Linked DNA regions of Lepisosteus oculatus. The protein of the gene in region 1 purifies or fractionates together with the protein of each later gene. This does not show direct contact. Links are inferred from orthologs where the notes say so. Each region holds a gene or a part of one and is shown in the gene's direction. Other genes may lie near its edges.

Region 1 (8,241 bases):
CCAGACGTTCACAAGCTCGGACAAAACGCTTCTTTACGGCTGTAAGAAGTTTCAATAGTAATAAGAGAAGAGACAGTTGAGTTTGTTAATCTTATTTCTCTTTTTTAGTGTGTCTCCAGGACTCTGATTTGTATTTTAGTGGTAACGGTATTGTTTTCGGACATCTCAAACAGTAGACAGAGGTGCAACTATCAAGAGATCCTCATCGCTTACAAAGAACTAATCCTCACAGAACTCCAAAGCCTGGTATGTACTTGTTATGTATGTGTTTGTAATGAAACAGGAACTATTGCAAAATGAGGAGCTCAATAAATCAAAAAAGCTTTCGTGTAGTGTCCAACTACAAGGTTTAATGGTTAAAATAATTTTACAGAATATACTGTAGGTACACGTCATTGTGGACAGAAGTCCCTCTTCGGGTGATGATACTATTTAACTTCATCTTTATATATGTTTGAGTGTGTGTTGGATTTATACTGTATGTGGGTATGTTGTCTGTGCATTCATGATGTTATTTGCCTGACTTTTACGGGAGTTATTTTAAAATACTAAAAGGCAACAGCCTTTCTCAATGCGAAACATTGTCAGAGTCAGTGAGTTACTGCCCTCTTGTGGTTTGGGAGATCTTGTAGCGATTCAACCTAAATTAATTGCTGTTGTGGACTGATCAATATTCTTCTTTTTTAGAACCTCACAGGTCCTTATGACACATCAAGTGAAAATAAAAATTTAAGAGACCATTGCCCCTCTGGAAAGGTATGATTTAGAGTTTAGCCATTTTAGTTCCACTAATGTAACTTGTGTGTACTTTACCTGATGTGTGTATGTCCTGTACAGTATACATGTATACTGTATGTGTCTGGTATTCTGGTATAGTATGTAAAACTCCAAGGATCTTTAAATGTATATATACACTAGACAAAATCTAAATCACCTTCGTTCATGCTGAGAGCATGGATGATAGTGATTACTCGGACAAAGCTCAGTTGTATGTTTTGCCTTTCTTGCATGACTTAAAATCAAGAGTATAATTTGTGAATGGAGATTTGTAAAGATTCATAATACACTACTGCTATCAATCGTAACTCAAATTAAATTCCAAATTCTATTAGACTGACAACTGTAGGAAGTTACATGACTTACGCTAACTGTATTGTTATCTTAGAAAAACAATTAACAAATCTATTTAATTAAAATGTAAACAACAGAATCTAGACTGGTCTATTGTGTATTTGCAGTACCTAGTACTCTATTAAAGTTAATTAATGCATATCGTTATAGTTACAGTATGTAATATTCTCGTATATTTTTTAGAACAGGAGGAAAACAAAGAATACAGAAAAAAATAAATCTCAGAATTCCCAAGGGAGGCTGTATACACTATCTTAAAATACATGAGTGAACATAATTATTTCTGTAGGGCACCGGTTTCTATCCGTAGAGTATAAGAACAATAGAAGACAGTATTCTGAGCAATATAACTCAGTTTTTAATTCCTTTTCCAAGATGTCACATCCTAGTCCTGTTTTGCATGCACCATGACAAGTAGAACAATGTTCTATGAAGCCACAGTAAGCCCGTTGTTGAACAATTGTCAGGAAAAGTCAGTAAGTTTTAATTTCTAAGCATATTGTCACATAAAATGCATTGATTCTGTAACAAAAACCTTTATTCAGATCAGGAGGCAGGTCAGAAAGAAAACAGTTCAATACCATTCTCCCTTACAAGAGAGGTATTCAGCACCAAGGACAGCACACGGCAGATTTATTTTTTTCGTGTTTCAGTGCCATTGGGGTCAAGGGAATTGTGAAAGGTGTTGGTCTTATGTCAGTCAAACCACTAGGAGTTCTCAAAAAAAACTAGTCCATCAAGTTACTCATTGAGCTAAGCATGGGGATTTCTGATAGTCAGAGGAGAAATTATAAGAGAAAACGTGGAGAACAATTTCACGATTTTCAAGCAGTAAGTTGTATACTGCCACCCCATAATCAGTTTTTTCATGGCTAGGCAACAGTGCATGATGATACAGCAGAGTATAATTTGTGCTGGAACTGAGTACTTTTCATTTGAAGATTGATGATTGGGCTGTAAATCTTTTGTAAATATGATACTCTATAGGTTTAGAGAAACATGAAGTTAATTAAAAGGGAAGTTTTTTTTTCATTATGCTTTTGGACACTTACGAGGAAGCATGTCTTGGAATAGGATGCAAAGTCTGAATTATCTGCTAAATAGCCTTCTAGCTTAATATCTGAATTCAACTAATTGCTCTGCCAGTGCTTTGTTTCAAACCCTGAAATTTTATTTTGATTATTTTAGGTACACCATATCCTGCAGTCTATCTACAATATGACACAGTTTTTTAAATGTCAAGTCAAAGGTAAAGGATCAAATAACCTAGGTAACCCTGTGAAAAGAATGGAAATGGTTATTAAACAAAACTGCAATTATGCTGACCTGGTAAGTTACTGTGATATAACACTTTAGAAGAGGGCTTAAGTCCAGCAGATATTATGAGTTTATTATAATCATCAACAGACTTATAAGTTTATTTTAATCATCAACAGACTTCAGGAAAAGAATTTAAGTAACTCACTTAAGGCTTATTCTTATTGATTAAGGAATCAATTTGGAGATTTTAATCCTCATGTACAGTAGGTTCTGAAACTGCTGGTGATTTCAGAAGGAACAAAAGTCTGTGATAATGAATTTCTGCTCAGGGATGTGAAGATAGAAGTGAATCTAGGGACTGTAGTGAAAAAGAGAGAACAATATTCTCCTTTTCCCCAACATCATTGTTCGCTGTGCTTCCACAGTTTTGAATAGCGCATGTACACAACACAAATTCTCACCTGGTGATGCTTCAAAAGAAATGATTTTTTTCTCCAAGAGGTTAACAAGGAATATATGCTTTGGTATTTTGTTTTTCAGATAAGAAGATCAGAAGGTGACCCAGTATGCACAAATAGTAAAGGTTTAGGAGGGAAAAGAAGGAAAAAAAAGAAAAAGAAGATTATCGAGGCCTTAATATTGTGTTGGAAGAAGTTACAAATCATGTATTCTCCAAAACCAAAAAGAAAGACATAAACTAGGAGGAATACACACTAAAGGAAAGAACTGTTAAGGGATTTGTAAATAATCAATAAAGATTTTAGCAGTTACAGTCAAAAACTGTACAAAATATAAGCTTTTGCCACACCTAATGTGAGAGCTTTTATAAATACTTTAAGAAGAAATATTTGGAAAGACACTTACATATTCATAGAAATGTACCATACTCACATACAGTATGCTGTATAGATACTGGGACTTTGAGAGTTAGATGTATTAAATGCATCATTTTTCATTTAATCATTTAAAAATTAAAATATAAAAGACTTTTCAACTTCTGTTTTATTTTTTTGTTTAGTAGGTTGTACTATTTATTAACATGTATCCCCTTAACCTAAACCTATGCTAGTTATAAGAACAAGAATATTATTTTTTTATTTATGTTTGTAATTATATGTTTTCCAAGAGATAGATTCTTTGTTTTTAGTTGATGTTGTTCACCATCACAATATTCTAATTAATTCTGAGATGTGCCTGTCTTACAATATCAGCATGGTGTCATAAATGATGCTATAAAATAGCATATCTTGTTATTAATATGGTCTAAGAAGATCTTTTTAAGCTATAATGCATTTATTATTGTAGACATTTAAAAATGCTGTTTAATCTGTATGGCTAACGTAAAGTTATATTGTTAACATGTACTGTATTTACATACTATATTGCCTGTATAGCTGGTCCTTTGTACTGTATTTACATACTATATTGCCTGTATGTTCTATTGTGGGTATTGATTTTGTCTCCAAGATCCATCCAAAAATATATTAGCTGAAGAAAATGTTTATATGACTATAGGGTTGTTATGAGTCAAGTTAGCTGATTAACAGAATGACCTTCAAGGTGTTGACGTTCAGTTGGTATCCAAGATGGTGCCGTTCCCATGGTGACGTCACGCGTGCAGCTCTTTCTTCAGTACTTTGAGGTCAATGAAGGGAAAAGATTCGAGCTCTCCATTTGGTGCTTTTATTGAAATGCAATGCTATCATATGCTTGAGAGTTAGAAGCTTGATTTAAATGGATATTGTAAAAGATTGTATAACCTTTATAAGATAGTTTGTGACTAAGGTGCAAATAGAGTGAGGTCAATAAAAGAAAACAGAAAATGCATGTTGTTGTATATTTGGATGTTTCTGTGTTCAAAACTTCAATGATGGCCATCTTTCATCTGTTTCATGACGTGCACAAGACTGCAGTTTATAGATCGGTTTAAATAAACCATGTCTTTTCTTCCTATGAATTATTGTTATTACATTTACTGTATATGAAGTATTTTAATCCTACTTTATTTGATTAGCTTTGTGATTTTATTTCATGTCTTGTAATACACTGTGGATTTAGATTAAAAACACCTCAATTCACTGAATATTATTTCAAGGTAGTTAATATTACATGCTAAAATAAAGATTAGAACAACAATTGAATTCAGCTTGGCCCTATAGGTGTGTAGTCATTTTGAATTATAGCACAGTGGACTAAACCTAGTCCTGGTTGGCCAGTCTGAACATAGGTTTTATATGTCTAATTAGAGAGCCGGAATTTGAAGAGCAGGGAGAAGTTTGTAAATTGGTCCAATTTAACAAATAACTCCTCAAGAGCTGTGGAATGTTTTTTTTATCCCTGCATTGAGGCATCTACTATTGCCCTAAGTTCTTTTGTGTTAGTATTTTCCCCCCGAGAATAATATTACTATTATTTTAAAGACTAAAATACATATTGTTTTTATATCAGATTGTTTAAATATCGTAATTTTACTTTATTATGTTTTTTTTTTACAGATTTCTATAGGGAAGTTTTTCCAATGGTGCCATACCTGCTCCATAATGAGGCCAATACCTATTAAGGATTAATTTTCTATGGAGATTCTTAAAATGTTTATATTGTATAATCGGAACCTTTTTTCTAATTGGTTTTTGGTTCCTTAACAAAAAAGGACCGGAAGTGAGCTCTCTGGTACACAATACGTTGCTACGCGTTTACGTTCAGGAACGTGGAGTTTTGTCTGCTATGCTACAGAGCTACGCTCCGTGATCGTTCAGGTGACTTCATTATATATTGACTAAATATATATTAGGCCCTCAAAGGTAACGTTTTGCTGGCTAGAAAATTACGGTACAGTGCCAAGAAATCGTATTGTTGAAGTCGCAGTTAATTAGAAAGATTTTTTTAAAACGAAACGTTTCAACACAGTTTTTTTTTCGTAATTTTATACTTGCATCTTTGTGCTAAAGGAATTATACGACTATGGGAAAACATCTTTGTTTTTCTAAGTTGGGGTTAGTGATTGTGACTGATAGTATAGATCATTCTTAGCACTTTTTAATGTAAAATACCGGGTAAACTGATCTTGACATTTCATTCTCACGCTGTCTGGAGCCACAAGAACGACTTAATTTAAAAGTGAATTGTCGTTTTTTTTTCCATTGTAGATAAGTTGACTATTTTAGGTGCGAATTGTAGTTGCAGAAGCCTTGTCGAGTATTATGGAGGAGCCATACCTAGGTCCTTTTGTTTCAGAAATGTCACAATGTTTTGCTTTATTAAAACCTTAGCTCCTAGGTTATTTTATTTGATGTCTTGCTGTGGTCCATGTAAGTGTTTAATTGTCAGTTTTGTGCTCTTTCTAGTAGATATGGCCAGCATGGACATGGATCCTGAACTGGCCTGCAGTCTGTTTGAGGAGGGGGCCACACTGGTTTTGTTGGGGGTGCCCGAGGGGTCGGAGCTGGGGATCGATTACAAGACCTGGCAGGTGGGTCCCAGGTTCCGAGGGGTCAAGATGATCCCACCGGGCCTGCACTTCCTGCACTACAGCGCTTCCAACAAGCCGGAGCAAGGAGGGGAGACTGGGCCTCGGACTGGGGTCTTCCTCTCTCTCAAAGCCCGAGACGTCCTGCTGGCTCACTGGGACAGCCAGCAAGAGGACCTGGACTTCTCCGCCTCCCAGAACGAGGAGGAAGTGGCCCGGGTGCGGGCTGGGCTGCGCGATCTGGACCGCTTTCTGGGACCGTACCCCTACGACATGCTTCGGAAGTGGGTCTCCCTGACGGACCGCGTCACCCAGGAGGTTGCACAACGCCTGCAGCCCCTGAATGGCAAGATCTGTGCCTTCAGCGATGTGGTACCGGAACTGTCGTTGCCTCACACGGAAGATCGGGTCCAGCAGAACCTCCCACGGTACGACATCCAGTGCCAGAGCATGCAGGAGGGTTTGGACAGGCTGCCTAAGATGAAGCTGAGAGCCGGCACAGAGCTGCGCTTCTCAGAGATCCCCAAACAGACCTACCCTGAGGGGGCCACACCTGCCCAAATCACCCAGTACAGTATGGACCTCAGTTATGCCCTCAACAGCTTACTAGAACGCTACTACAAAGACGAGCCACTGCAAGTGCTGGGTGAGTTCTGGACTGAAAAAACACACTCTGACACAATTCAAAGCCTTTACAGTTCCTTGCATTGATTGATGCTATAAAATGCCAGCCTTTTTTATTTTCTGAACACATACAGTAAATCAGGAGATGACTACTAGCCTGTGTAGTTGAATGCCATTCATTTCAGTGTAATTCTAACAAACTTCAGTTTTCAGGATTCCAATAAGCTTTTGCTTTTGATGCAGTTTGTAAGTAAATGACCTTTCCTCTCCTCCTTCTCTCTTTTTTTTTTTTTTCTGTTTTGCTGTCCAGGGGAGTTGCAGTTTGCATTTGTGTGTTTCCTGATTGGGAATGTGTATGAGAGCTTTGAGCACTGGAAATGTCTTCTGAACCTGCTATGCCGCTCTGAAGAGGCTATACTCAACCACCGGAACCTGTACCTCCACCTCATCCCTGTTCTCTACCACCAGCTGGGAGAGATTCCCCCCGATTTCTTTGTAGACATCGTATCCAAAGACAACTTTCTCACTTCCACCTTGCAGGTAGGTTGTTTGGTTCTCTTCACAAAGCTGGTCTTGCTGCCTCAGTGCTGTGCAGCGTAGGAAGACTCCAAATCCAGAATATGAATAGTAAAAGAAGGGTTAAAGTCCTGCGTGATCTAGCGCTTCATTTAGGCCATAATCGGGGCTCTTATAGATTTTCATTATCTAAGCTGTTTGTCACCCCAAGTTTTACCATGGTAAGTTGTCTTCTCTTCCGAGTTTTTTTTTTCTGTTGAAAATTGAGATCGTGTTTGATCTACCAGTTTATCTGGGGACTCACAGTATCTGAGAGTTATACATAAAAGAGTAGCTAGGGAAGAGTACAGAAAGAAGCTTAGTCAGACGTTTTTCATTTAAAACAAAATCATGTTCTTCTTTTGTTTTTTGCCGTACACCAGCCAGGAGAATACGAGGGTGGTTATAACACCAGCCAGGAGAATACGAGGGTGGTAATAAACGAGAGGTGGTCATGTGGCCCATCTGCATGTTCTGCACTGATCTCTGATTTTACTCTTGCCCAGGAGTTCTTTTTGTTCACGAGTGGGCCTGGTGTGGACAGTGGTCTTCGGAAACGGGCTGAAAAGTTCAAAGTCTACCTGACCAAGAAGTTCCGGTGGGATTTTGAGATAGACCCCGAGGAATGTGCCCCTGTGGTTGTAGAGCTGCCAGAAGGAGTGGCTCCAGAATAAGGCTACCGTCTGGGACAGCCCAACAAGAGAGTCGAGCCAGGATGTTGGGCATATCGGTGAGTTATGGATTCCTGACGGCACTGGATTTTTTTTGGGATTGATCAACTGTGCTTGTAACAGAGACCTGTAGTGGAATAGAGAAGTCTGGTTTCCAAAAAGAAAAGTGTGGGCTTGTTGGGAATTTTGTAGATGTTTTTTTAATAACATTTTGCTCTGTGGCACACAGATGGACAGCACTCTGAGCAGATCTCTGAAGATAACCATCTGTATCACTTCTTGACAAGGAGACAGGTTTTTCATTTCCTGATTGGATTTTGGAAGCTGTTCGGTGCTCTGTTTTGTTTCACATATGTGACTACAAAACGTAAAGACTTCTCATGATTTTGAAGTTTCTGCAACTACTGTGGTATTTGGGGTGTGAATGAAATTAAAAATTGAATGAAAGTCTGAAGACTTAACGTTGACATGGTCTCTAGAAAATACAGATCACAGGAAGACATTAAACTCATCTTTTGATACTGGAAAATATCT
Region 2 (7,740 bases), on another chromosome or scaffold:
GTATATAAGTGTAAGCAATTATTATTATTGTTTTGGGAGACTAGAGTTGCCCATCCATTCTTAATCTGTGAAGTATGGAGGTTATTGGTCCAGTTACAACATTAATTGGACTCTTTTATCCATTTTTGTGAGGTTCCTGAGCTGTTACTGATCAGAGGGAACCTGGAAAACCATTGGAATTAAGAATCTCAATGGCAGGAGCACTTTAACAGTCAAACTCCAGACCCGTGTCAGTCTGCAGCACAGCAAGCTGCCCGATCACATTACTGACTTGCATATTCTACATCGCCCTGGGAAACCCAAAGGATTTTGATCTGGTGATACACAAGCATCAGAAGAGTGAAAACAAGTGCACTTTCACAATCTACTCCCAACGCTGGATCTGTCTTAGATTGGGAAGTATAAATATCAAAAAGTGAAGGTGCTCTTGTTTCATCCAACAAACCACACAGGCCTCCCCCTCATCTGCAACCTGTCTTGAGTTCTTAGGCATCTCTCCATATTTTTCTGTATTTGTATAATAATTAATAATTAAATCCTTAACACTTATATAGCACTTTTCTGGACACTCCACTCAGAGCTCTTTACAGGCCATGGGGATCCCCTCCACCCCCACCAGTGTGCAGCCCCCCCTGGATGATGCTCCAGTCCTCTCACACACACCAGCTCTCAGTGGGGAGGAGAGCAGAGTGATGAAGCCAGTTCAGAGAGGGGGGTTATTAGGAGGCCATGACTGGTAAGGGCCAGGGGGGAATTTGGCACCAAGGACACCATTGATGATTAATATTTTTGATTTTTGGCTGGTTCCTATGATCTTGACCTTCCTTTGTCATATTGTATTAAAATCCTTTATTGAACCCGATGGGCCAATGGAGGGCCCCAGAGGGCCGAGCCCCTCTCTGCAGTAGGCTGTGTGCCGGACCAGCCTCAGTGAAATACTTTGCTAAAGGACTCAACCACAGTGTCGCACACAGCCCTGACCACTTCTCCACACCAGGGAGTCTGCTTCAGTACGTCAACATGTTATTAGTATTTTTTTTGCACCATTGCACTGTTAGTTACTGACATGTTATCTGATGAGCTGCACAAATTGGGGCTATTTTATGTAACTTCGATTGGATAAAGAACGAGTCCTCATTTAACTGCAATGTGGTACAAAGGGCTGTTCAAGGAACAAAACTGTGATCGCTCACAAATCTGTACCCACAATACACACAGAGAGGAAATTGTTTCTCAAGAATAAACCTTCGGACTTGCCAGCCCAGTTTTTGACTATTTTAAGAAGAACCCTACATTAAGACACAGCCACGGACACGGTCAATGTCAAAATGCATCACTGGGAAGGGAATATTTAGGGCACGTCTTCACACACAGTGCATTCATCTAGTCTGTGTGTTCTAGCTTAGCCGGGGAACACCTGTCCCACTTGGCTTTATCTCTATCATGGTGAACATGTTGGTTTTTCGGGGACTTCCTCTGGGGGGTCTTCAGGGGACCCCAGGGTTTCCCGACCTCCCCCCCAAACACACACACACATTTTGAGAATCGGTGCTTCCTGTCAGTTCTGCTCCAACGCGAACACACTCCATGCGCCCCAGTGATCCGCCCAGCACAGGGGCCAGCGCAGTGAGATACCTTAAAGTTGAGTTCGCACGGGCGCTGGGGTGTACCCCCTTCCTTAAAGGCATCTCCCGAGCTGCTCCCACTCCTCCTCTGAATTGCAGTTTTGATCCCAGACCTCCCATCAGGACAAATTTAGCAGCACTCGGCCCTTCCCTTCGTTTTCAAGTGGTTCCCAGCTCAAGTACCAATTATCTTATCCCTGCCTTCTCATTTCCCTCTGGGAACGCCACCAGGCCGGGGCGTGGCACAGGGCTCCTGCACGCGCTATTCCTGGCCCCCGGTACTGAAAACCCACTTGTAGCTGCCGTGAGGTGCGGGGCGCACGCAGACTGGGGGTTTGTGGGCGCAGATGAGCCACGGCTGGTCTCCGAGCTGAGGGCGAGGGCTGGCACTGAGGTTACAGAGCGAGGGCGCTCAGGCGGTGCTTGATACGCCACCCAAAGAGCCGGCCTCCCCTCTCGTCAAATTATCGCCCCAGTTCCGTCAATAGCAGCCCAGTGTTGCGCTAATCTAAAGCACACCTCGCCCAGCAGTGCAGGACCACTCTGGACCTGCTCACTGTGGAACACAGTAAGGACTCTTGCAAAGAGTGAGTTTGTTCTTACTGACTAGATTTCAGAAGTGTTCAGACTGCAGTTGTATGTAAACTGTTCCTATGCTAAGACTAGTTAAATGGCAGTATTCTGTATTCTTTCTATGAAAACAATCTAGATTAAGGTCCCAAGATCACTCAGGCTATAACGGTAGAAAACACCAGCTGGCTCCATCTTAACCGGTTCAATGGTTTAGTTATTCTATTATCAAGAATAAACCAAATGATCCAGCACACTGATTCCCGTTCACAGATGCTCAGGCTAAGCACACACATGGGTGTGCTACCCATCTTTCTGGGGACTTCAGACTGACTCTCGTTCTGATGAGACAGTGGTATTGAGGTCACACCAGTAGGTGTGCGCTTCCCTCTAGCCCTCAACCTCCAAACCAGTAGCCAGTATGGCGACTGGGGACACGGTGCTGTAGGAGTTGCTGTCCTTCAGACGAGACGTTAAACTTTGCTGGGTCATTGAAGATCCCAGGGCTCTTTGGAAGAGAGGGGATGTTAACCCTGGTGTCCTGGATATTTGACAGTGAAGCAGTTTCTCACTCCTCGCCCTGGTCTTAATTAAATTCAAGCTTTATTTGTCCCATCGGACACACACAGCACACTCCCAACATAACAACACAACGGCAGACAACATTTTTCCAAAGAAGTCAGTGCAACAGTGTTCCAGCAAGATAAGGAAGAAGATAGTTACAGTATATGTCTATTGCAGTGGGGATGACAGATTTCCTGTGTCTATTAGTATCACACCTGGGGACACAGAGGGAGTGAACTCAAAGTGGAGGGGCTGAGAGACACAATCCACAATACACAGTGCTTTCTTTGCCACCCTCTACCTGTAGAGGGTATTTAAGGTGATCTGATTTGCCCCAGTTAATGTGCTACTTAATTTGACTACTTTTTCCAGCCTGTTACAATCAATGGTACTGATGTTACCAAATTAGCATGTGAGACTACGTTAGTACACTTTCAATAAAAGTCTAGTATAAAACGTGTTAGGATCATTCTGTCTACCTTGAAATAGCTTGGTTTTCATAGGAAAAAGAGAGTTTGTTGTCCTTTTTTATAAAAAGTGTCGCAGCATTTGTCCCAACTCAGGTTGGTGTCTTGTGGGTAGACCCTCAGGCTGCTGAGTGCTGTGGCTTCTGCTTTGCGTCAGCCTGGAGAGCATGAGATGGTTCCCCTGACCTCCTATCTGCGAGCTGCTTTGGGGGAAAAAGCTTTATTATAATCAATTATTCTTCATTATGCAATTTTATTAATGATGCTCCACTCCAAATGTGAAACTTTGTACGGGGTGTTGCAGATTCAGAAGACACTTTTAAATGCCGAACAAAAATTTAAAAACTAGTAGACACATATAGCACTTTTCTGGGCACTCCACTCAGAGCTCTTTACAGGTCGTGGGGATCCCCTCCACCCCCACCAGTGTGCAGCCCCACCTGGATGATGCTCCAGTCCTCTCACACACACCAGCTCTCAGTGGGGAGGAGAGCAGAGTGATGAAGCCAGTTCAGAGATGGGGGTTACTAGGAGGCCATGACTGGTAAAGGCCAGGGGGAAATTTGGCCAGGACGCCAGGGTAACACCCCTACTCTTCTAGAGAGATGCCCTGGGATTTTTAATGACCACAGAGAGTCAGGACCTCGGTTTTATGTCTCATCCAAAGGAACACTCCTTTTTACAGTACAGTGTCCCCGTCACTATACTGGGGCATTAGGACCCACACAGACCGCAGGGTGAGCGCCCCCTGCTGGCCCCACTAACACCTCTTCCAGCAGCAGCCTCAGCTTTCCCAGGAGTCTCCCATCCAGGTACTGGCCAGGCTCACACCTGCGGAGCTCCAGTATTTTATATTATAATATAATTTTATATTGCACCTTTAAAGGTGGCCTCTTAAGGCACTTTATAGAACAACAACGATAAAAAAACAAGATATGCACAATGAGAACACACAGTGAGAGGAGACAGTAGATGGGGATCCTGAATACAGTAGGAGCAGAGGGGTTATTAAAAAGTTATATTTTCCATCGTTGGCACATTATCTCAGCGTTTCCCCCTTGATTGCTCACAATACACCCTGACACTCACATAATAACACAAATCTCTCAGCAATGACTTGTTTTTTTTTTTAAAAAAAAATAGTTATTCAAAGGTTTAACCTCCATCTAGAATCGGAACAAGCTGTTCTGCTTTTATAAACGTGTCCCTTCCGCCCCCTAGAGGCCCCTGAGAGTTAGGTCTCCTGTATCCGCATGTAGCAATTGGAAAAGGCAAAGGGATAAAAATACACATTTTTATATAACCACAACAAAATACAATATCATGCACGGGACAAGTAAATTGTAACACTAGATCCACCATCGCCAGACTTGCACTTACATTAACCTAAGCAGCGTGAAGCTCATTAACTACTTACCACAAACACAGCCCCCACCCCACCTGCTACAGGATTTCCGCTTGCTCTTGGAAACTGGGAGTTGTAGTTTTTCGATTGTGGGCAATAAGGGTCTACGTCAGTGAAAGACTACACTATCCGGCATGCAGTAGCGCAGAGAATAACCTGACTTCGCGGGAAGAAAGGTAAGATGGAGGGGTGGTGGGAGTTTCTGTTATGAAAATAACAACTCTGATCTTTTTGGGATCCGGGGTTGTTTTACGACCCCAAAGGCAGTCCATGCGTTCGTGGTTGTGGCGACTGTAGCGGAATCCGACGGTTCGGGCGCATGTCTGCAGCTCCCGGAAGACGGACAGGGATGCAGGGCCAGATACAGCAGCCGAAATGTCCGAGCGTCGTGCCTTTAAATGTGTTCAGACACGGAGAGCAATCGTTTCCCGGCGCCTTGTTTTTAAGGATTCCCGTTTAACACGAGTAGTGAAGACAAGGCGAAGATATTTCAGTTCCTAATGCGTCTTGTAGCTTGTTCTCCGTGCAGAAACACGCAAGACTAAGGTCCGGGTTTTCCTGGCCTGCTCCTCTGCTTCTTAAATCTCGGCCCTGAGGAATTTGACCCCTTTTCCTTTTCACCAGGGTCTCTAGTACCAGTATAAATATCTACTGGTGCAGATATCTCCTCCGACACCCCCTGTGGCTTGCGTGAATGTTGAAATATATAAATCCCAGATTTGGTAGATTCTTAAACATACAACCCCCCCTCCCCCCAATCCACGGAGTGTCCTCGTTTTTTTATTTTAGGAATACGGTAACCCTAGGTCAGACTTAAAAATCTCGGAGATCGCAAACTGAAGCGATGAGTTTTTGACTTTCATGCGTTTTCAGGTCGTTGTTGACTCATTTGTTGTTGTTTTTTATGTTCGATGCGTTATGATGGGACACACGGACGCTCACTAGAGGGCGCCAGATAGTTCAGTCATCAAACGGCCAGGTACTTTGTTAGGGCCCCCAATCCACTCTCTCTCTCTCCCCTTCCTCGCTCTCCCAGATCCCGGCTGACTGGCTGCTGAACGCACGACCGGAACGTCATGGAAGAGACGGGCGCCGATTCTCGCTCTCTTAAAGCTGGCATCCTGTCCGAACTGAGCACCATCCTCGCCAGCACCCAGAACCTGTGAGTCTGCACCTCCAGTAAGATGCCGCCTTGCAGTTCCACAGGTGCCAGGTTTCAAACTCCCCGCCGGCGCCTGCAAAATCCCAAATCCTCATGTCCCGGATGTTCCGTTTCCCAGAGTTCGTAGCTCTGCATGACATCTAAACTGATTGCACATGGGCCCTGTGCTGTAGAGAAAATGGGAAAATTGCTCACATTTGCCAATTAAAGGGGAGCTTTACATGAAGGAGGTTGTATAGTACCAGAGTATAATTTAGCCAGGACACTATGTTACCACCCTTGCTTTTCACAAACTCTCTAGTGACCCAGCAGTCAGGAGTCAGTTTACTGTCCAGACTGTAGAGCCCAGAGTCAGGACAGCAGTGTGAGGACCCCTCCTCTCACACACAGCCCTGGGGTCTCTAGTGACCCAGCAGTCAGGAGTCAGTTTACTGTCCAGACTGTAGAGCCCAGAGTCAGGACAGCAGTGTGAGCACCCCTCCTCTCTCACACAGCCCTGGGGTAATTAGTGAGGTTAACAGCCCCTTTGAAAGATGGCACCATGATCGCCACATAGGAACACTGGTTGGGAAGTTCAGGTCCAGAGGCAAGAGCATCGCCTACTGGTCCACCAACACCACCTACAGCAGTACTCTAGTTTTCCCTCAGAGATCTCACACACCAGAGGACACTGTAGTTTCCAAGTTGATTCTAATCCTTGATTCAGTAGCATTATCTTCACAAAAAAAAATAAAATGCAAGTGTACACATTGAGCAGTTGATCAATCTTGCAAGATTACACGCATGAGATCAAATTTCATGCAGCAGCGCCAGTCCTGTTTCCAAACCCTCTGAAGCTCTGCTGCCGTCGATCTCCTCCTCTCTGCAGAAATCGGTCGCCTGTCGTCTTTCCTGAGCACAGCAGCTGTCTCCTCTTTAACCTCAGACAGCTGCTGGTCTCAGGAAAGATGTGTACACTCGCTGCCCCGGCCTGCTTCTCCAGCCAGTGGAGTGGAAAAGATCCCGATTGCACTCCCAGACCACAAAGGGCGTTTTTCCCCCCCATACAGAAGATGCACGCGCCATGTGATCTGTGTGACGACTTCGGAGTGGTTTTAGAGCCGCGGGATGTGGCGTCTGATCTTTGTGCTTTTGTTTCCGGTGTACAGTTCCCCCGTCCTCGGTCGTCTTTGCTGTCTGGAAACGTCCTTAAAGTGTTCTAAAAGCTGAATGTTTTGCTCGTGCCTGGGTTCACCCGGTACGTTTCAGAGTGGAGGAGCTGCAGAGATTGGTGGCTCTGACTGACCCGGACAGCGGAAAGTTGCTGCAGTCGCAAGAACAGGTGAGCCGGCGCGGGGGGGGGTGCGGCTCGTTGTCGATGCACCCTCGTCCTCTCCTTCCCACGGGGGTCCCCAGCGTAGCCTGCTAGAGCTTACTACCGATATACGGACCAGTGAGGTTGTTGCTCTCTGTTGTGTAGTTCCAGTAACTGGTAGACATGTATGCAGGGCCTGGGGGCACCAGAATTTAGTGGTCCATTTCTTATACAGTGTGCACCACATTATTCATTGCACATGTTACTGAAAGAACGGGGGATAGTTTACAAAGGAGAGGAGGCCATTTGACATCTAGCCCATTTTGTAGGTAGCAGTTAATTGCATGTGCATGTGAGGGTTGCTAGCTTTTTGGGAGACTCCTTTTATCGGACATCAAATTAATAATAGTCGCTTACACTTATATAGGGCTTTTCTGGACACTCCACTCAAAGGGCTTTACAGGAAATGGGGATCCCCTCCACCCCCACCAGTGTGCAGCATCCATCCACCATTATTCTTACACATCATTAAGGCAACAGTAGCTTCTACATGGTCTTGACATTCCTCAGTATATCTCATTTGTGTAGTTTATGGACGCGCTAAATTCCCCGTACAGGACCCGCCAAAATGATGTTAAAATACCTGGGGTTCA
Region 3 (7,708 bases), on another chromosome or scaffold:
CACTGGCCTCTGCTCCAGAAACACCTCCCTTTCACAGACATAGCACCAGATCCGGAATGTGGTTAGGTTCACCGTCAGGTTGTGCGTTTTAGCCTGAAAGAAGATGTCAGCAGCATAAATGAACAAAAAGCCTCTCTTAAATATCCCCACATGTCCATACATGAATCCATTTTAGATTGTGTGAGACTCTTCATGTCCCCTGACCTTCTGATCTCATTTTCCAGCCTCATCTGTCTTTCTGGACTTGAGCAAGCCTTAAATAATGCAAAGCAAATCTAGTGGAGAATATCAGATAAGCTTACTTACCATGAAACAAACAAACTACCTGGTCAATCTATTAATTAAATAATGTATAAACGTGCAGATGTACAGTGTGAGCCTGTGACAAAAAAAAACAACTTTCTGCTTTTTCAGCCAAATGAACTTTAAAATGCCACTATCTTACCTGTGCATGTAAGGTGCTGTGATCTGCATAAGACTCCCCACAACCCACATATGGACAATCCTTCTGCACCGCAGCCAAAACACAGGAGAAAAGAGCATGAAGTACATTTACTAGCCATCAACAGCACCTTACTGAATTCTCCATGCCTGGGTTTAGTTTTTTTGTTTATCATGTTTAAGATTCTACCTTAAAATCATAAGATCATCTAATGCAACAAAAAAAGGAATCATCTATATCTAAAACTAAAATGCAGGAAGAATTAAAGGTTCATTTCACGTTCAAAAGTAGAAAAGACTAAAAAGCTAAACGTTTCAGCCGTTGATCTTCCTTCCAGTGAGTGTCGCCTTAAACTGAAACATTGTTTTCTTCCTGACGATTTAGGTATGGAATTAACCTTTACTGCTTCCTTTGCAGTCAGTGCACACTGAGACAGCTTCCCACTCAAACCTCTTAGAAATGAAAATAAATCAGTGCCACGTTATTGCCAATTAACAGATTCTAGCCAAGGATTATTTATGTAGGTTGATACGGAAATAATATTACTGCTCATTTCCTGTGCTACAGTATATATGATAAGACATATTAGCAAATACAAGCATATAAAATCTCAAATGTTCATAGAGGTCGGAGCATGACAACGCTTTGTGCTTTACAAAGATTCAGACCTGTACTGATTGGAAGAACTGAGATAGGAAAGATCTCCATAGGTGCTGAAAGACGCTCTGTGCTATTCTCTGTGTTTCTTAGATGACAATGCACAAATAAACAACTCTTTTACCTGTAGACATGCCCAGAGATTAGGTCCCCCTGCGCCACAAGACTGGCATGTTCCCTAAATCCCCCACAACATAAAAACAAAAATATTCAATTGGACTTTCTGGCATGTCATCAACTAGTGAACCTGTAAGAAAAATGGCATTACTGAAGTTCACATAACAGCAATACCTGCAATGCTTCAAGCATTTCAGAGTCGAAAAAAGTCTGATATTTTAAATGCACATAAGAATATATGTTTAAATCAACCAGAATCGCAGAGACTATTGGCATCCTTCAATTCAACAATTAGCTAATCTGAAGATGTAAAAGCATTCATCAAAGTCCTCTTTGTTTATACCAATATTTGCATTTGTAACAGCAAAGTCAAAGGAAAAAAAAATAAGTTCACTTGAACAAAACTACAGGAAACCGTAATAATTGTGGCTAGTTGTTTGTCAAATGATTTTGGCTAAAAAAAACTCCTCCTGGCTAACCTGGGCTGAAATGTCTTCAGATTTCTGAGTTGACTGTGCAGCTCCAGAATGTGATTTTCCATGTTTGCTTATCCTGTAAAGACCACCTTAGGCCTTGATTTGCATTGCACACTGCAGTCTGAATCAAACAATTGTGAATGGTGTAATACAACACTGTCTTTGTACTCTATTCTCACAGTAGCTTTATTTTTTTAACCGCATTGATGCAATGATCCATCTTTATGAAGCCACATTTACTAAAAATGCTGATTTTTCAATGATTTGCACTGTTATTTTACAGAAGGAAGCTCACTCCAAGATATTACTGCATGTGTCTTGTCAGCTACACTGCTCAAATAATTCTTATTACTGAAACCTCACCAGCAAAACTCAAGGTTTCAACAAGACATTTTTAATAACTCAAGGACTTGGCAAACACTTTTTAAAAGCAACCAGATTAGTGACAACAGATATGTGTTCTCACCTTGGATTTCTGCAGTAATTCCTCCTTGGTAACCTCACCTATAGAATCTAAATGAGGGCAAAGATCTCCGTTTTCCGTCATCTCCTCTGACGTGTACCTATTTTTAGATAAAATACAAATGCACATTATGGAAACACAATAAAAATAATTAAATCAGTGATTACAGTATTATTACTACTGTGTTATTGCCAAATGCTAAGTAACGCATAATCTGTATTCTAATCTACTTGTGAAAGCATATTAAACAATACAGTACATTTTCAAAAACGTACAAGTGACAAGGGAATTTAATTTTGATTCCTCGTTTCAGTCAGAAAAGGCCTTAGTTAGTTCATCCTTCACAAACAATTAGACCAACTTAAATATCGCTAAAACGTCAGCTCAGACAGTCCAAACAGCCCAGAACCAAGTAAGAACAGCCCTAGAGGGATTTTTATCAGACAGCTGTCACATGAAATTTTATTTAATTTTGATGGTGACAGATCGGAGACTGTAAACAAATCTTGTGTCTGTTACTACTGATTAATCATTACCAAAGTTTACAAAGAATGTTTACCGATCCCATGAAGACGACATCATAATAACAGGTTTCTAAGTTATTGACACTTTAAGGGATGAGCATAACATGAATGATTACTGTATTACACCAGTTCGTCAGTATCGTTAATATATTTAGCACAATGAAATAAACGAGGACTTCTTCCCTTCTAGATTTCAAACACTAGTAATATCAATAACACCCTTTCAGTCTTACTAATGATATAAAATGATTCGACAAGCCCTCAGTCCATTAAGTCATCATCATCACTCATTATTTTTAAGTAGCTAAAGGCATCTCCACACATGTATTTAACTGGCAATACCTTTTGGACATTGTGATACTGTAAATTCCACGTCAAATTACACAGAAATAGAAGTTAAGAATATTGGCCGTGTTAAATGCGGTTATATTTCTTTGCAAAAATAAAGCCTTAGTCATCCTTAGGCAGTCATAATGGAAGCCGAGTGTGAAAAAATGCCGAGGATTTTACGCAAATCTCATAAGACTACCAACACATAACAATGCTCAGAACCCACACATCAAAGAATTGAACGGTTACATGTTAATCCGTCAAGTGAACGACTTGCCATTATATGTCACGAAAGCATTGATCCAAGAGTCCTTTTCACGACTGTGATGATTTCCTACTGTACCAATGACAATTCTTTAAAAAAAACACATACAAATGTTAAATATTAAACATAAAGGATTCCTTAGAAAAAGGGCTACTCTCTACGTCTCACTAAATATGTTTAAATCATAAAAAATGTTGCCTTCAGAACAGTATGTTTATCGCCATATTATGCACTTGAGCATTTTCAATTCTGACACGATGACTGTACATTTTCCATGCATGAAGGAAATGCACTTTACACGCGAGATAAAAACAAAAACAAAAACAAAAGCGTTGTGCGTATTGCACATTAGTCAGTGAGCAGGTCTAAAAGCCACACATAGCTCCGACAACACTCAGCTTCCTGCTATAGGCTCTCATTACACTATAATTTACAGGCCTTTCCTACACCAGACCAAACGCTTTGGAAAAACGCATATACAGCAAATTAAAAGACACTGACATACTTGACAGTTCAGCACCTAAGAAATGTATATTTACCTGCAGCCAGCAGTGTGAAAACGAGCTTCGGAAACATTAAAACATTTGGAAAAAAAAGATGAATAAAGAAACCTAAGGAGCCGAGATGCTACACTGCTCTCTGAATCGCTACAGCGTGCCTCAGCGTCAGATTTGTTTGCGCTGCGTGACAGTGATGTTGACTATTGCCGAGGACTGTGGATATTTTCTGGTTTCTTTGCTGATCAAGAATATCCGTAGTGCAAACATGTTTTCACTCGAGACGTTCATAAAACTCTTTTGGTAATTGCAGCATGCTTTGTTTGTTTGCAAGAGACCACAGTTGGGTCAGTTATTCTATACAATTCTGGTAGTGCTCTAAATAAGTCGTACAATAATTTGAATGAGAGTGACGTTGTGTCTTGAATTAGATTTTATTAGCTTTCCAAAACACTTCCGTAACCTAAACTAAATTTGCAAAAGGTTTATTTTTCTCAAACCAACCCTTCTATGTGAGAGATACCCATGCAGGGATTTTTATCATACTGTACCTGTTCTCTGGTCTAGAGCACTGCTTCGGTTTATGTTGGCATTTCTCTCAATTAAAAACATTTATTGACTAAGAATAATAAGAAGGTTGTGGCATCTATATTGTTTCAACATTACAATAAAAAAACATTACAATAAAACACGATATTAGCTCAATTTTAGTAAGCTTTTTGATTAATTTTAATGCTGTACTTTCAAATGTATTTAATGTTGATATACTTTGCTGAGAAAAAGAAACTCAGTTTAAACCCATATGATTTTAGATTGAAAGACTTTTGCTCCAAAGCAAAATAAATGTATTTAGGGAAACGAAGACGACTCGTTTAATTTTTCTGTTTTTCCTGCCCTTCAGAGGGCACACCGTCATTACTTCGGCTTCAAAACATAGTGACGTAACATCCTCTTGGAAGTCGCTGGAATTGTGGGTCGCAGAATCGTGAAAACAGGGAACACATGTACGCACGTATTTTTTGTTGATTTTTTTTAACAAAACAGAAGACGAATATGCCTTCCAATAAAAACTTTAGAAGGAAGAGAGATGATTCTGACGACGAGGAGGACGAGGAGACAACAACAGAAGTCAGGTAAATATTTGATCAGAAGCGTTTAGCTTTAAAACAGTCAGAAACAGCTGAATCTGTTGGAACGCCTTAGGGTGAAAGGTGTTTCTTTTAGGGTACACACTGATGTGGTACCTGTCGGTTCTTTTCCCTTACAGATCTAAACTTGATGAAGCAAAGGAAATTCAGAGTCTTAGAAAAAGACAGAGTGGCGTGAGGTAAATATTCTGGGAATGGTACTGAAAACAATGCACTGTATTCAAAAGATACATTTCTGTTTTTTAGTCCTAGCTAGTTTTCCTTAAGCCTCGGTTTGTCCACAGAAATATCAATAAGCTTTCCCAGTTCTTTGGCGTATATTATTGATATTTAACTGCGTTTCTGTTTTCCTTAGCATTACAGCCTTACTGGTTGGTGAAAAATTGCCACCTGAATCGGAGATCGAGGTACGTAAGCTGTATGTTTAGGTTTTATCTGCCAAAGTCTTATTTCATTTCCAAAAGAAGCCCCACAAGTAATAATGATAGTAGAACAGTGAAATAGCTTGCATCAAATGTGCTTTTGAATAATCAGTATATTTTGTCTCTGAAAGGTTTAACCTTGCAATCAGTTTACATCCAGTTTTTCAGTTGTTGAATGATGCTCTGCATTTGGTTATTTTTGTCTGTCCTTCTGGAAAACTGTTGTATGTAGTACTACAACAAAACATGTACATGTATATAAAATATGTGTACATGCATGCTTACTGTGTGTACTGTATTTTAATCTTTTTAGGATGATCCCTTTAAATTGAAGACAGGGGGAGTTGTGGATATGAAGAAAATCAAAGACAGGAACAGAGACATGTGAGTGTTTTATTTTTTTTAATGCAGCAGTGTAAAATTATGTGGGGATCTGTATATATCTGGGTGTATACATCATTAACCTGAATACCTGTTAAACCATAATTAAACTGCAGTGATATAAATTTTAAAAATATAAATACTCTTTCTTCTCCTAGGACGGAAGACGAGACCGATTTGAATCTGGGAACGTCATTCTCAGCAGAGACAAATCGTCGTGATGAAGATGCTGACATGTAGGTATCTTTTCAGTTTCTTTTGTTGTGATCTAAGGCCTCCTAAAAGATACAGAAAGTAAGAATGCAGATATCAGCTATCAAAAGTATGGGATATGTTTTATAGAAATTCCCCGGGACCACACTGTGAAAAGAGTCAAATGAACTTTTCTGAAATGACAAAATACAGTAATCTGCCCTCTGTTGAATTTTCAGCAGCAAATAGAGCTATATTCAAGAGAACAGTGTACTTATTATAGTTTGTCGATTATAATTTGAGCTACAGCACAGCTGGCAGTCCTGAGACCAGCTGTTTTTTTCTCATGCTGTTCTTTTCTAAACATTTCAATGTGCTTTCAGGATGAAGTACATTGAGACAGAACTTAAGAAGAAGAAGGGACTGGTAGAGGCAGAGGAGCAAAAGGTGAAGGCGAAGAACGCAGAGGATCTTCTGTATGAGTTGCCAGAGAATATCCGAGTCTCATCCGCCAAGAAAACAGAAGAAATGCTTTCCAACCAGATGCTGAGTGGCATTCCGGAAGTCGACCTTGGAATTGAGTGAGTGATTGATCAGTTAACGGAACAAACAAAAGTTGTGTTTAAAATAAATTGCACTCTAGGACATTATTGTACTCCAAAACGGGCTTTAATTTCCTTTTACTTATGCAAACAAATGTGTTCTCACAGTAAAGCTACTGTTTATCCAAGCAATTTGTAATGTGATTGTCTTGCTCATTTAAATATTTCTCTTTTCAATAATTTAGCTTATATTGTAGTTATAGTACCCTATCATCTCAAAGCAAGTACGTCTATCTGTATTAATGGGATATACTTCTAAACAAAAATGTACTACCTCTGTTGGCTTACTGTTCTTGGGACACTTTAGAACAGAATGCCTAGAGTGCAGTGACATTGAAGGTTTGGTTTTTGAACAAGAACGCAGATGCTTGTCTCTTTTCACTGTCTCTCAGTGCCAAGATAAAGAACATCATTAGCACCGAAGACGCCAAGGCCAAGCTCATAGCGGAGCAACGCAACAAGAAGAAGGACAGCAGCACTTCCTTTGTACCTACAAACATAGCAGTGAACTATGTTCAACACAATCGCTGTAAGCCCCATTCTCTTTGTAATTAATAAAGACCCACAATGTCAAGCCTAACTGATCCCAGATTCCTGTATTGATAGTGCAATAATGTAACACGATTTGGCTTGAACTGACTGAGCCAGATTATTGAAGTAACAGTACATTATCCTCAGTTACTTATATCCTTTTAGAATCTGTATGCCAAAGGATATAGGATCAACATTATGCACTGCCCAGTAGTGTAGTGTAATGTCAAATGCCTGTTCTTCTGTTTGATTTTAGTCTACCATGAAGATGTGAATGCACCAGCAAAAAGACACAGAGAGGAGCCCAAAGCTCGGCCACTTCGAGTGGGGGACACTGAGAAACCTGAACCAGAAAGTAAGAGTTGACAGAACAATCACCGTGTACTAAAATGAATTCAGTTTTAAATCAAATCTTATTATTTTTACTTCACATGCTCTTTTGCTGAAGTGGACAACTTACCACCTGTAAACCTGAAGTTAATTTTTCTGTTAAATTTGAAAGCCATTTAGTACAAAATAAGTAGGAATATCCAAGTTTAACACACATTTGTGTAACAACAGCCTAAAAAATTGCACCTTTGTCTTCCACAGAAACGCCTCCTAATCGCAAGAGACCAGCCAATGAGAAGGCCACAGACGACTACCATTATGAGAAGTTTAA

What was found. The genes of interacting proteins can lie anywhere in the genome.
Region 2: the proteins of aar2 (region 1) and tssc4 purify together in Homo sapiens (affinity purification with mass spectrometry; 3 studies listed by BioGRID and IntAct, counting the BioPlex papers as one, with this or other methods). This does not show direct contact. The link is inferred for Lepisosteus oculatus from reciprocal best matches to the Homo sapiens genes AAR2 and TSSC4.
Region 3: the proteins of aar2 (region 1) and c24h9orf78 purify together in Homo sapiens (affinity purification with mass spectrometry; 3 studies listed by BioGRID and IntAct, with this or other methods). This does not show direct contact. The link is inferred for Lepisosteus oculatus from reciprocal best matches to the Homo sapiens genes AAR2 and C9orf78.

Annotation. Positions count from the first base shown.
Region 1 is NC_090711.1:6,136,684-6,144,924, forward strand, and holds the start of aar2 (protein AAR2 homolog), read left to right. Parts: upstream 1-5,055; 5' UTR 5,056-5,147; exon of another isoform or gene 5,148-5,192; intron 5,193-5,735; exon of another isoform or gene 5,736-5,738; 5' UTR 5,739-5,740; coding exon 5,741-6,503; intron 6,504-6,791; coding exon 6,792-7,021; intron 7,022-7,542; coding exon 7,543-7,710; 3' UTR 7,711-8,241. UniProt on the Homo sapiens protein: Component of the U5 snRNP complex that is required for spliceosome assembly and for pre-mRNA splicing.
Region 2 is NC_090716.1:2,144,750-2,152,489, reverse strand, and holds the start of tssc4 (U5 small nuclear ribonucleoprotein TSSC4), read left to right. Parts: upstream 1-4,735; 5' UTR 4,736-4,807; intron 4,808-5,667; 5' UTR 5,668-5,837; intron 5,838-6,941; exon of another isoform or gene 6,942-7,041; 5' UTR 7,042-7,114; intron 7,115-7,740. UniProt on the Homo sapiens protein: Protein associated with the U5 snRNP, during its maturation and its post-splicing recycling and which is required for spliceosomal tri-snRNP complex assembly in the nucleus.
Region 3 is NC_090719.1:7,922,725-7,930,432, reverse strand, and holds the start of c24h9orf78 (splicing factor C9orf78 homolog), read left to right. Parts: upstream 1-4,703; 5' UTR 4,704-4,824; coding exon 4,825-4,904; intron 4,905-5,038; coding exon 5,039-5,098; intron 5,099-5,274; coding exon 5,275-5,326; intron 5,327-5,654; coding exon 5,655-5,725; intron 5,726-5,880; coding exon 5,881-5,958; intron 5,959-6,297; coding exon 6,298-6,495; intron 6,496-6,908; coding exon 6,909-7,045; intron 7,046-7,303; coding exon 7,304-7,402; intron 7,403-7,638; coding exon 7,639-7,708. Other genes in the region: usp20 (ubiquitin carboxyl-terminal hydrolase 20), read right to left, coding at 1-93, 446-508, 1,224-1,277, 2,159-2,239. UniProt on the Homo sapiens protein: Plays a role in pre-mRNA splicing by promoting usage of the upstream 3'-splice site at alternative NAGNAG splice sites; these are sites featuring alternative acceptor motifs separated by only a few nucleotides. May also modulate exon inclusion events.